Callithrix jacchus: one gene and its partners. The protein of the gene in region 1 interacts with the protein of each later gene in a biochemical or structural test. Links are inferred from orthologs where the notes say so. Each region holds a gene or a part of one and is shown in the gene's direction. Other genes may lie near its edges.

Region 1 (3,752 bases):
GAGTTCAGTAGCACGATTTCAGCTCACTGCAACCTCCGCCTCCCAGGTTCAAGCCATTCTCTGCCTCAGCCTCCTGAGTAGCTGGGATTACAGGCACCTGCCACCACGCCCGGCTAATTTTTTTTTTGAGACGAAGTTTCGCTCCTGTTTAGCGTGCAATGGGGCGGTCTCAGCTCACCACAACTTCCGCCTCCTGGGTTCAAGCGATACCCATGCCTCAGCCTCCCAAGTAGCTGGGATTACACGCATGTGCCATCACGCCCGGCTAATTTTGTATTTTTAGTAGAGACGGGGTTTCTCCATGTTGGTCAGGCTGGTCTCGAACTCCCTATCTCGGGCCACCAGCCCGCCTCGCCCTCCCATCCGTATTTTCGGGCCTCCCGCCCGCCTAGGCCTCCCATGCCTATCTCGGGCCTCACAAAGTGCTGGGATTACAGGCATGAGCCACCGCGCCCGGCCTAATTTTTGTATTTTTTTTAGTAGGGACGGGTTTTCACCAGCGTTCGTTTCTTCCCGGACGCTGGTCTCGAAATGCTGACCTTGTAATCCACTTCGGCCTTCCAAAGTGTCAGGTTTACAGGCATGAGCAACCGCGCCCAGCTACTACAGGTTTTTCTTTCCTTTTTTTAAGACGGAGTTTCGCTCTTGTTACCCAGGCTGGAGTGCAAATGGCGCGATCTCGGCTCACCGCAACCTCCGCCTCCTGGGTTCAGGCAATTCTGCCCCAGCCTCATGAGTAACTGGGATTACAGGCACACGCCACCATGCCCAGCTAATTTTTTTGTATTTGTAGTAGAGACGGGGTTTCACCTTGTTGACCAGGATGGTCTCGATCTCTTGACCTCGTGATCCACCCGTCTCGGCCTCCCAAAGTGCTGTGATTACAGGCTTGAGCCACCGCGCACTGAACCCCAGAGAAAGGACCCGCAGATCCCGCCACGCCTATGCCGCGTTAGCGCGCAAAGATGGCAGCCGCCGCGCCCCGTGGGCGGAGACAAGCGGGCCCGAGCACTTCCGAGCGTTCCTGAAGCCCAGAGGAACTCCGGGAACCGCGCGGGCGGGAGCTGCCCCACCCGGAACCTGGGAGCGGCGGCGCCGGCGCGGGGGAGGGGAGGCCGGATGTGAGTGGAGCGGCCATTTCCTGTTTCTCTGCAGTTTTCCCCAGCTTTGGGTGGTGGCCGCTGCCGGGCTTCGGCTTCCAGTCCGCGGAGGGCGAGGCGGCGTGGACAGCGGCCCCGGCATCCAGCGCCCTGCCGTCCTCAAGCCGCGCGCCCGTCCGCCGCGCCCCGAGCCCGCCGCTTCCCGTTTCAGCGCCGTGCCGCTGCCGCCGCGGCCCAGCGAGCGGCCCAGATGCAGGCCATCAAGTGTGTGGTGGTGGGAGACGGGTAAGTGCGTTGCCGGGTCTGGGCTGGGGGCCGCGGGGGCGGGCGCGGGCCGGGGTGGGCGCGGGCGGGGGGCGGGCCGGGATTGGGGCCCAGGCAGGCCGGGATCCCTGGCGGGCTCGCGTAGGCGGTGGGCCTGGGCCTGTGGGGCACGGGGCGGGGGCCGCGGGCGCCGGCTGCCCGGGCGGCGCGTGCCTGGTTCCGGCTCTCGCTGGGGGAGGGCTTCGCCACTCGCCGGCCGGTGGAAAAAGTGAACTCCACCCTCCGGCTTTCTTCCCGGACGCCGCCCGCCGCCCGCCGCCCTCCCCGGGAGCCCTCGTAGAGGAAGCGCTCTTGGAGATTTTTACCGTTTTTCCAAAAAGGGACCCTCTCTTGTTTTTTTGCTTGAACCTCTCGATCCCTGGACCTCGAGAGCTGTGTTGGGAACCCGGCGGTTGAGTCGATCATATTTGATGCGTGCCCGATTGAACTGGCCGCTTTAGTGCCCCAAAGTTTTCTTTAAAAATTTTTTTTTTTTTTTTGCAGAGACGGAGTCTCGCTGTGTTGCCCAAGCTGGTCTTGAACTCCTCCTGGGTTCAAGCGATTCTCCCATCCCAGCCTCTCAAAATGCTGGGATTACAGGCGCCTACGCCTGGCTAATTTTTAAAACTTTTTGTAGAAATGGGGTCTCACTGTATTTCCCAGGCTGGTTTCGAATTCCTGGCTGGGATCAGGCGAACCTCCTGCCTGTCAGCCTCCAAAAGCGCTGGGTTGACACCGCGCCCGGCCCCCAAACTGATTTTTGAGCAGGTTTTTTCGACTTACACTTCTGCCACTGTTAGGATTCCTAAAATTAATGCTTTCTCCCTTTCCGAGGATAAAGTTTTTAAGATGCTCCCTGGCAGGAGCCATCTGTGATGGGGACTGTTCTTTTATCTTTCTTTATTTTATTTTATTTTTTTAAACGTGGTGTGGTCATTGAAAAAAAAAAAAAACTTTCTTGCTTAACGCGTTGGGTATGGGATGTAGCAGAACTGGCTCCTGTGACTCCAGGCGTTGCTTTTCATGACTGTCCGTGTTGGTTACAGGCCCTCGAGAAGGACAAGACTTGTTTTATGCCGTTTTTTTCTCCCATAGAAACAAAAATCTCAGTGTAACCCGAGCAAAATCGCGCGTCTCAGGCGTCGCTTGTATAGGTTAGTGTTAGCAAGGAAGAATTACTAACAGTTTCGTCAAACTCAGAATGCAACTGGTACATGTTCGAGTAAAGTCGAAGGAAAGTTAGGGCATCAAGGTTAACTTGGTTGATATTCTTCGAATTTGTCATTAGGTTTTGGTTTTATGCCTCTACGTCAATTCATGGATTCTCAGTGTATTTAGATAATTATACTGTTAAGACATTTGCAATTGTTTCAGTTATCCTTCTTGCAATTCAGATGCAAGAGGATAATTAGACAACTGATTTTTGTGAGAGGCCCATCTGTCGGATTTGTCTTGCAAGTGTGAAGGATTATTAACGCCTCATAATTTTATGTTTATATGATAACTAAAAATTGTAACTTTCAGTTAGAGTACGTATGCTGTTCAAGCTTTTTTTTTTTTTTTGACTCGGAGTCTCACTCCGTTGTCCAGGCTAGAGTGCAGCAGTGTGATCTCTGCTCACTGCACCCTCTGCCTCCCAGGTTAAAGTGGTCCTCCTGCCTCGGCCCCCCTAGCAGCTGGGATTACAGGCACGTGCCACCATGCTTGGCCGGTTTTTGTAATTTTAGTAGAGATGGGGTTTCGCCATATTGGCCAGGCTGGTTTTGACCTCCTGACCTTGTGATCCTCCTGCCTCAGCCTCCCAAAGTGCTGGGATTACAGGCATGAGCCATTGTGCCTGGCTGGGCTTTACTTTTTTATTTGGGAAAAGTGTTCAGTCAATTGATTGATAGTGACATCAGTGAATTGTTTCATTTAAAAAAAAATTTTCGAGACAGGGTCTCTCAGTGTTACACAGGTTGGAGTGCAGTTGTGCCATCTTGGCTCACTGCAACCTCCACTTCACCCGCTCAAGCGATTCTTAGCCTCCCGAGTAGCTGGGATTACAGGTGCCTGCCACCACGACTGGCTAGTTTTTGTATTTTTAGTAGAGATGAGGTTTCACCATGTTGGCCAGGGTGATTTTGAATTCCTGACTCAAGTGATCTGCCTGCCTTATCCTCCCAAAGTGCTGGGATTACAGGAGTGAGCCATGGCACCTGGCCCACCTTTTCTTAAGAACATTTAACATTATTTGGATTTCCTTTAAGCTAAAAACGCTGAATCAAGTTTTTTTTTTTTTGTTTGTTTGTTTGTTTTTTTTTTTGAGATGGGGTCTCAGTCTGTTGCCCAGGCTGGAGTGTGATAGTG
Region 2 (3,652 bases), on another chromosome or scaffold:
ACCTGCAGAGGTGGGTAAATATCAGAGGGCAGTAAATATTGAATGAATGAATAGATTGATAAATTCAATCTTCATAGCATTTCTTTCTAAAAAGGTATTGTTAATTCCTAATTTATATAAGAAGCAGCTGAGATTTGGAGAGGTGAATTGATCTGCCCAGTCTCTTAGTAAACTAAAGAGCCAGGATTTGAAAGCAGGTAATTACCCCCAACTCCAGGTTGTTTTGCATCATAGCACAGTGGTATTTTTGTATGTGTAAACCTGTGCTAGAAGCCAGAGAAGGAGACTATTAGAGAAGGAAAAGGCAAGCTGTCTTCAAAGAGACATATCAGGACAGGCAAAAGAGGTCAAGGCATGAAAGTATAGGTTTAGGTGCCTGGGATATAGTTTGTCTACAGGTACAAGAATAGAAAATTGAGCAATCATTATACTAGAGTAGTAATCAGGAAAGAAGCCATTGCCTCTGATCTTAGTGTCTTGGCTTATTGCTGTTCCCACTACATGGAAAGTTCTCTCCCATTTCCACCTATTAAAAGCCCATCCAGTCAAAAGGTAGCGTGGTCAAGCAGTCCAAGGTGCAGGATTTAGTAGGTTTTAGTGTCTGTGGAGCCGTGGGTTTGAGTCCTGCTGCTGCCAATGGCTTTGCATCTTTGCAGATAAATGATCATCATAGATAAATCATCCTCTGTTCTTTGTAGAAGCCTATCCATCTTTCAGGATCCTGCTGAAGGATCCTGTTTATTCATTTATTCCACCAAATATTTACCTGAATCCTTGCTTTTTTGTTAAGTGGTTAGGTGGAGGAACTCAGGGATGAATGACCCACATTCCCTGTCCTTATACAGCTTATAGACTATGCAAACAATAATTGTGATATTTTTATGATAAAATCTGATAAATACCTTGAAGCATCCCCTAGAGAAAGGAAGCATAACTTAACAATCATTTCTGAACCTCAGTAGTATATAGCTTGCTCATTTCTTTATGACATTTATCCCTTTCTTGTACTTATGATTTTCTCACCTCCTTTATAAGAATGAGAGGATGGAGTAGCATTTTATACAAGGTGAGACAAGTAGATTCCCAGTAAATGTTTGTTATGTAAATGATGAATAGAACATTTAATATTTTTGAAAGATAAAATTTGAGTGCTTAATGTCTGCTAGGGATGATTCTGATTACCTCACATATTAATCAGTTTACTCCTATAGCAACCCCATAAAATAGGTGTCATTATTATCACCACTTTATAGATGAGGATAGTGAAGCACAGTGAAGTTAAGTAATCTGCCCAAAGTCATGTAGAAGGTAAAAATAAAGAGTTGGGGTTTAAGTTCAGGCAGTCAGGTTCCAGAGTCTGTGTTCTAAATTACCACACTGTACTGCCTCTTGATGAAGAACAAAAGTAGTTCCTTCCCTGCAAGGGTTCAGGATGTAAGGAGGGAGTAACTCAATAGAAGTTGGTGTTGTGCTACTAATGCAAAGTGCTCTGGGAATACAGGGTATTTCTTTTAGCTTGGGGATGCATAAAATGTTACAGATGAAGGGGATACTTATCTAATAAAATTGTCTTTAACTAATTTCTTTTGATAGTTGTCTAGCCTCTATTGAATATCTTTAGTGCTGAGATTCTCACTTCTATTGTGTACAGGGAGAGCAAGGAAGGCCGTTTTACCCAGAATGGATGGGCCTGGGCACAGAGGAGGCGTAATATAAATTTGGACATAGGAGAAAGGATGAGTTTATTGGGATTTGTTCTGTGGATGTTCTAACCTCACATCTAGGAGAGGTTCCCCTATGCTAACAAAGGCTGGCCTTGCCAAAATTTTGCACTAATAATGCAGGTATACACACGCTCTGTGATTGAACCACTTCCTGTCACTCCAACTCGGGACGTGGCTACATCTCCCATTTCACCTACTGAAAATAACACCACTCCACCAGATGCTTTGACCCGGAATACTGAGAAGCAGAAGAAGAAGCCTAAAATGTCTGATGAGGAGATCTTGGAGAAATTACGTAAGGAATTTGTAGCTTTCTGAACCTTTCTTTGCTCCATGACTGGTCAAGCACAGAGATGAGATTCTTGGTTTTAGGCTTTGTCCATGTGGCTGTCTGGCCATGCTTGGTACCTTAGCCACAGACTGCTTCTTACCCTGCCCCTGCACCTTCCTTCCATGTCTTACAGCCCTGGTTGGATACTATGTTAGAATGAAGATGTGGTGGGAGAGAGTGTGAATAGCTCACTTCGAGGGTAGGGCACCCTTTGCCCCTAGGCATGGATTATAGAGATAACAAATAGTTTTTCTCTAATGAATAGTCTAGAATGCCATGTTGAGAAAGACTGAGGACCTAGTGGAAAAGGGCACTCTGATTGATTATTGATGTTTTGCCATTGACCTAGGAGAAGACAGATCTGCCATCTTGGTTGTAGGAAAAGAGGGAAGGGAAGTTAACATTTTATGAACCTGTAGTATGTATCAAATGACGAGCAAAATATTTTCTTGACTTTTAAAAATTTAATTCTCTTGTTAACCCTGTGAAGAAAAGCATTATGGTCCTAATTTTTGTAATTAAGATACTTGAGGCTCAGGGAGGCTAAACATCCTGGCCAAAATCACACAGCTAAAAAGTGACAGGGCTAAGGTTAGAACATAAGTTTTTGTTCCTGTAAGTAGAGCATGTACTTGCTGTCAAGTGGAAACTTCCATTTTACTTTCTTTAGCTGCCAGAAATGGGGGTATGTTAGGGTAGCTTACTTCTGTATAAACTGCAAAAGAATTCATATTAGAAGGAAGAACTAGGTTGATCTGTGGGCTTGGAAGAATCATTTGACAAGGGCTTTAATTTATTCACTGTATCTACTTACTTCCAAAGAGGATTTGATGTGACTGATTTGGTGACATTTGCAAACTGGCATTGCTTTCCAAAGCCAAGGTTTCTGGTTCTCTAGTTCTTCCTGATTAATTCCCGTGTGACTTTAAAAAAAATTTTCACTATTTTAAAAATTGCCCTTTTCTGGATCCCTCATAAAATGACAAAGTAAGAAAAGCCACTTGTCTAGTTATCTAGTTACTCCTGTATATAGTCTTGTTCTCTAAACTAGAATTTTTTTTTTTTAACAATAATACCTAGAATTATGGAAAACAGACTTGGTCTGGGAGGTAGGACACTTGAGTTGAAGCTTCTGCCCAGCCACTGACTTGTGTCTTGGGCAATTTTCTACTGTCCTCTAAACTTTATTTTTCTCATTTTTAAAATAGGGATGTTAATACTTGTCTCATTTGTAAATCAAATGAGGTAATTTATATGAAAAGTACCAATTTTTAGTACTTGGGTATTAATGGAGAGCACATTGGACTGGGAGACTAAAAACGAAACTCCTAATCTTAGCTCTGACACCAATTTACTGTGTGACCTTGGGGAAGTATCTTCTTCCCTTCTGTGGGCCTCAATTTCCCCATCCCTAAAATACACGTTGTAATACCCAATGAAAAACCTCTATGTCTTTGCACTTGAAGTATTCTTTGTTGTAAACCTCTTCTCTACTTATCTCTCTGGCTAACTCCTACTTAGTTAAAGTAGAAATCAGTCTATATATCACCTTTCTGAAGCTTTTCCAGTCTCTCTCTCTCTCTCTCTCTTTTTTTTT
Region 3 (3,234 bases), on another chromosome or scaffold:
TTGCAGTGAGTCAAGATTGCACCACTGCACTCCAGCCTGTGTGACAGAGTAAGACTCTGTCTCAATAAAACAAAAGCAATGTGTATTGCATTTATAACCAAAAAAAAAGGTGAATCTGATTTTGGAAAAACAACTTCAGGAAGAGGAAAGTATCAAATCTAAATTTAAATGCGATAATGATAACCCCAGTTTAGTATTTATGGAGATCTTTAAAGAAGAAAGAGGTCCATAAACTTTATAGAGTGCTCTATGACTTTGTTGAGCTGTCTTAAGTATGTCAAAGATGTTCTTTTTTATTTAGGCCTTGTACCTAATAGCAACTAATGGAACCCCAGAACTTCAGAATCCAGAAAAACTTTCCCCAATATTTCGGGATTTCTTAAATCGATGTTTGGAAATGGATGTGGAAAAAAGGGGTTCAGCCAAAGAATTATTACAGGTAAATTTTAAAAGGATTTGATTTTGTGGAATAGTTGACTTTTTTGGTAACCAACAGAACATTTTCCTAGGGCTAATAATTAGATTTCACTATTCACTGATCACCAGCAGTATGGCAGCTGCCACAATTTAGGGTTTCTTCTGCTGGGAATAAAATTCTGACAATAACATAATGTGCAGTTTGTGCATATTATCAATTCTCAGACCTGTTTATTGCTGGCATATGTATATTTGTCAGACTAAAATGATTCTGCTTTTATTCAACTCTAAAAGTAATGTATTGATTATGTTAGTCTTATGAAGGTATTGAAATATGTGTTTAGTTTATTAAATAAATTATGATAGACAAGTAGTGTTTGGGGCTTAATTGAACAGAATTGTTTCTGACCTGATGAATGGCACTTATACATTTATTTTTCCCCTTCTTTCTGGCAGCATCCTTTCCTGAAACTGGCCAAACCACTGTCTAGCTTGACACCATTGATCATGGCAGCTAAAGAAGCAATGAAGAGTAACCGTTAACATCACTGCTGTGGCTGCATATTCTTTTTTCCCTTTTCTAAAAGAAGCCTTTTAGTATATGAAAATTATTACTCTTTCTGGGGTTTAAAGAAATGGTCTGCATAACCTGGATGAAAGAAGCAAATGACTATTCTCTGAAGACAACCAAGAGAAAATTGCAAAAAGAAAATTATGACTTCCATGTGAACCCCTTCTTGAGGGTCCAGAAGGAATTGTGGACTGAATCACTAGCCTTAGGTCTTTCAGCAAACAGCCTATCAGAGCCATTTATCATGAGTGAGATTTGCGTTTTACTTTGCTGACTTTGTTGTAATAGATCCCATTCATTGTCCCATTTGGGGTATTTCTAATACTTGAATGGCAGATTCGAGTTTTTCAGAGTATTTGTTCCATCTGCTACTCTTTCTCTCCTTCATAGCTTTCCTTTTCCTTAATTTCCTGCTTTTGAGTTTCTCATGCCTAGGCAAGTGTAATAGAAATTATGTAGCTCCTTATGTTGGCAAAGGAGCTCTATATAGTTTCACTTTGTGTAAAAGTTAGGACCAGCTGTTGTTACATGTAATATTTTAGTTCAGAACTTGACCTGAAGGAAGGGAAGAAAAGTATGTGATTTTTACCTTTTTTAACAAATGTGAAGAAGCCAGTTTTAGAAATTTTGTGGTATTAAGTTTGGCATTTGTTACATGTATAGAGAGAAGACTAATAATCTATATTTATAACTAAATCATTGAGATAGAAAAAGATTCCCATTGACTATAGAATTCTTCCAATTTTGTCTTCCCTTCTGCCTGTTTTCTCTTCAGGTTTGGCTCTAGGAGCCAAAGTGATTTGTTCTTGTTCCAACCTGGGCTTTATGACTTTGGTTAGTGCCACTACCTTCCTCTTCTCTCCTTTTTCCCCTTCATTTTGGAAATAAATTTCTGTATATGTTGCAATTTTAGGTTTAGGTTTGTTCTTTCTGTTTTTCATTAATCCTCTCTCGCCTCACACATACCCCCCTCCCAGGGCAAATAATACAATAACCAGTGAATTTTCAGAATTTAAAATTAGCTTTCCCCTCCCCCCCATTCAAAGGAGAAAAATATTTGGGACTAGCAGAGGCAGAGTGACAGACGGGAACCTCGGTGAGCTTTGATATAGTGAGACAAGATTATATTCATGAAAGAGAAATGTTAGTGTTGCAGAGGAGCCAGCTGATAACCAATCAACCACAGACTCTTGTGGAAGTCTCATTGTCCCAGATCATTATCAGTGTTTTACTATCTTTGAGAGCTTCTGTGACAGAGTATTTCTTGGTGAATTTATAGATCATTTGAGATGTTGAGTTATTTTAGTTTTGTTTTTTCTTTTCAAATAAGTAGAGAATATTAATGTAAAAAACTGGAGAAAGAAAAATGATATGTGCATGTTAATAGCAATAATTTTTTTCTTTTAAAGATTCTGAAAGGTCTGAGACCTGTAGCATTAATTATTTGAGTGCCCTCTCTTCTCTCCTCCCCTCCCATCCCCTCCCTCTCTCCTCTCCTCTCCTTTATTTGTTGTTTTGCTTTTGGAGCAGGTATTGTTCAAATATCTGTGGTTTGGTTCTGGCATTTTGTTCCCCCCATTGACTTCACCCTTGCTTGCCACCCTGCAGTCGTACAAATCATGAATAAAAATAATTTTGCTGTTGTGTGTACATTGGGGAAACCAGCAGGGTTTTATTTCCATTATTTTATTCCCACTCTATGTTAATATACAATTATAAGGAGAGAAGTGACTGTTTTATATTGATAAAGCAGGAAAGTTTTCAGAAAAATGAGTAAAATAATTAATGAAACATATTTAGAGCACTTAATGGTCTCTGTTTTCAATATAATTCTTGATTTCATTTCTCTCTGGACTATATTGGCCTTCAACAGCTATTACTGAATTACAGAAACTGGTTTTTCTGGTAGAAAGCTGCAGTGCCACTGGAGTTTCACATTTTAACATTCTTCATAAATGGTTGGATGGATTATGATAAAGAAGATGCTACCAATGAAATAGAAAACCACCTAGATGATAAGACTGTGACCGTCATGCACTCAAAGACACTTCCATCCTAAGTCAAAGACCATATTCGTTGACTGTGCCAATGCCTTGTTTTAGGCTTGTGACTCAGCAAAGGGCTTTTTAATTGGTAGAAGCAGTTTGGGATTTATAGTTACAACTTCTTTGATAGTTACCTGCACGTGCATTGCTGGTAACTGACTTTTGTCATTACAACCTGGCTCTTAGATTAAGGGAGATACA

The links.
Region 2: the proteins of RAC1 (region 1) and PAK1 form a complex in vitro, tested with the Homo sapiens proteins (17 studies listed by BioGRID and IntAct). The link is inferred for Callithrix jacchus from reciprocal best matches to the Homo sapiens genes RAC1 and PAK1.
Region 3: the proteins of RAC1 (region 1) and PAK2 form a complex in vitro, tested with the Homo sapiens proteins (2 studies listed by BioGRID and IntAct). The link is inferred for Callithrix jacchus from reciprocal best matches to the Homo sapiens genes RAC1 and PAK2.

What each region holds. Positions count from the first base shown.
Region 1 is NC_133503.1:16,113,451-16,117,202, forward strand, and holds the start of RAC1 (ras-related C3 botulinum toxin substrate 1), read left to right. Parts: upstream 1-1,143; 5' UTR 1,144-1,350; coding exon 1,351-1,385; intron 1,386-3,752. UniProt on the Homo sapiens protein: Plasma membrane-associated small GTPase which cycles between active GTP-bound and inactive GDP-bound states.
Region 2 is NC_133511.1:63,592,385-63,596,036, forward strand, and holds part of PAK1 (serine/threonine-protein kinase PAK 1), read left to right. Parts: intron 1-1,844; coding exon 1,845-2,019; intron 2,020-3,652. UniProt on the Homo sapiens protein: Protein kinase involved in intracellular signaling pathways downstream of integrins and receptor-type kinases that plays an important role in cytoskeleton dynamics, in cell adhesion, migration, proliferation, apoptosis, mitosis, and in vesicle-mediated transport processes.
Region 3 is NC_133516.1:25,312,613-25,315,846, reverse strand, and holds the end of PAK2 (serine/threonine-protein kinase PAK 2), read left to right. Parts: intron 1-301; coding exon 302-439; intron 440-873; coding exon 874-960; 3' UTR 961-2,636; downstream 2,637-3,234. UniProt on the Homo sapiens protein: Serine/threonine protein kinase that plays a role in a variety of different signaling pathways including cytoskeleton regulation, cell motility, cell cycle progression, apoptosis or proliferation.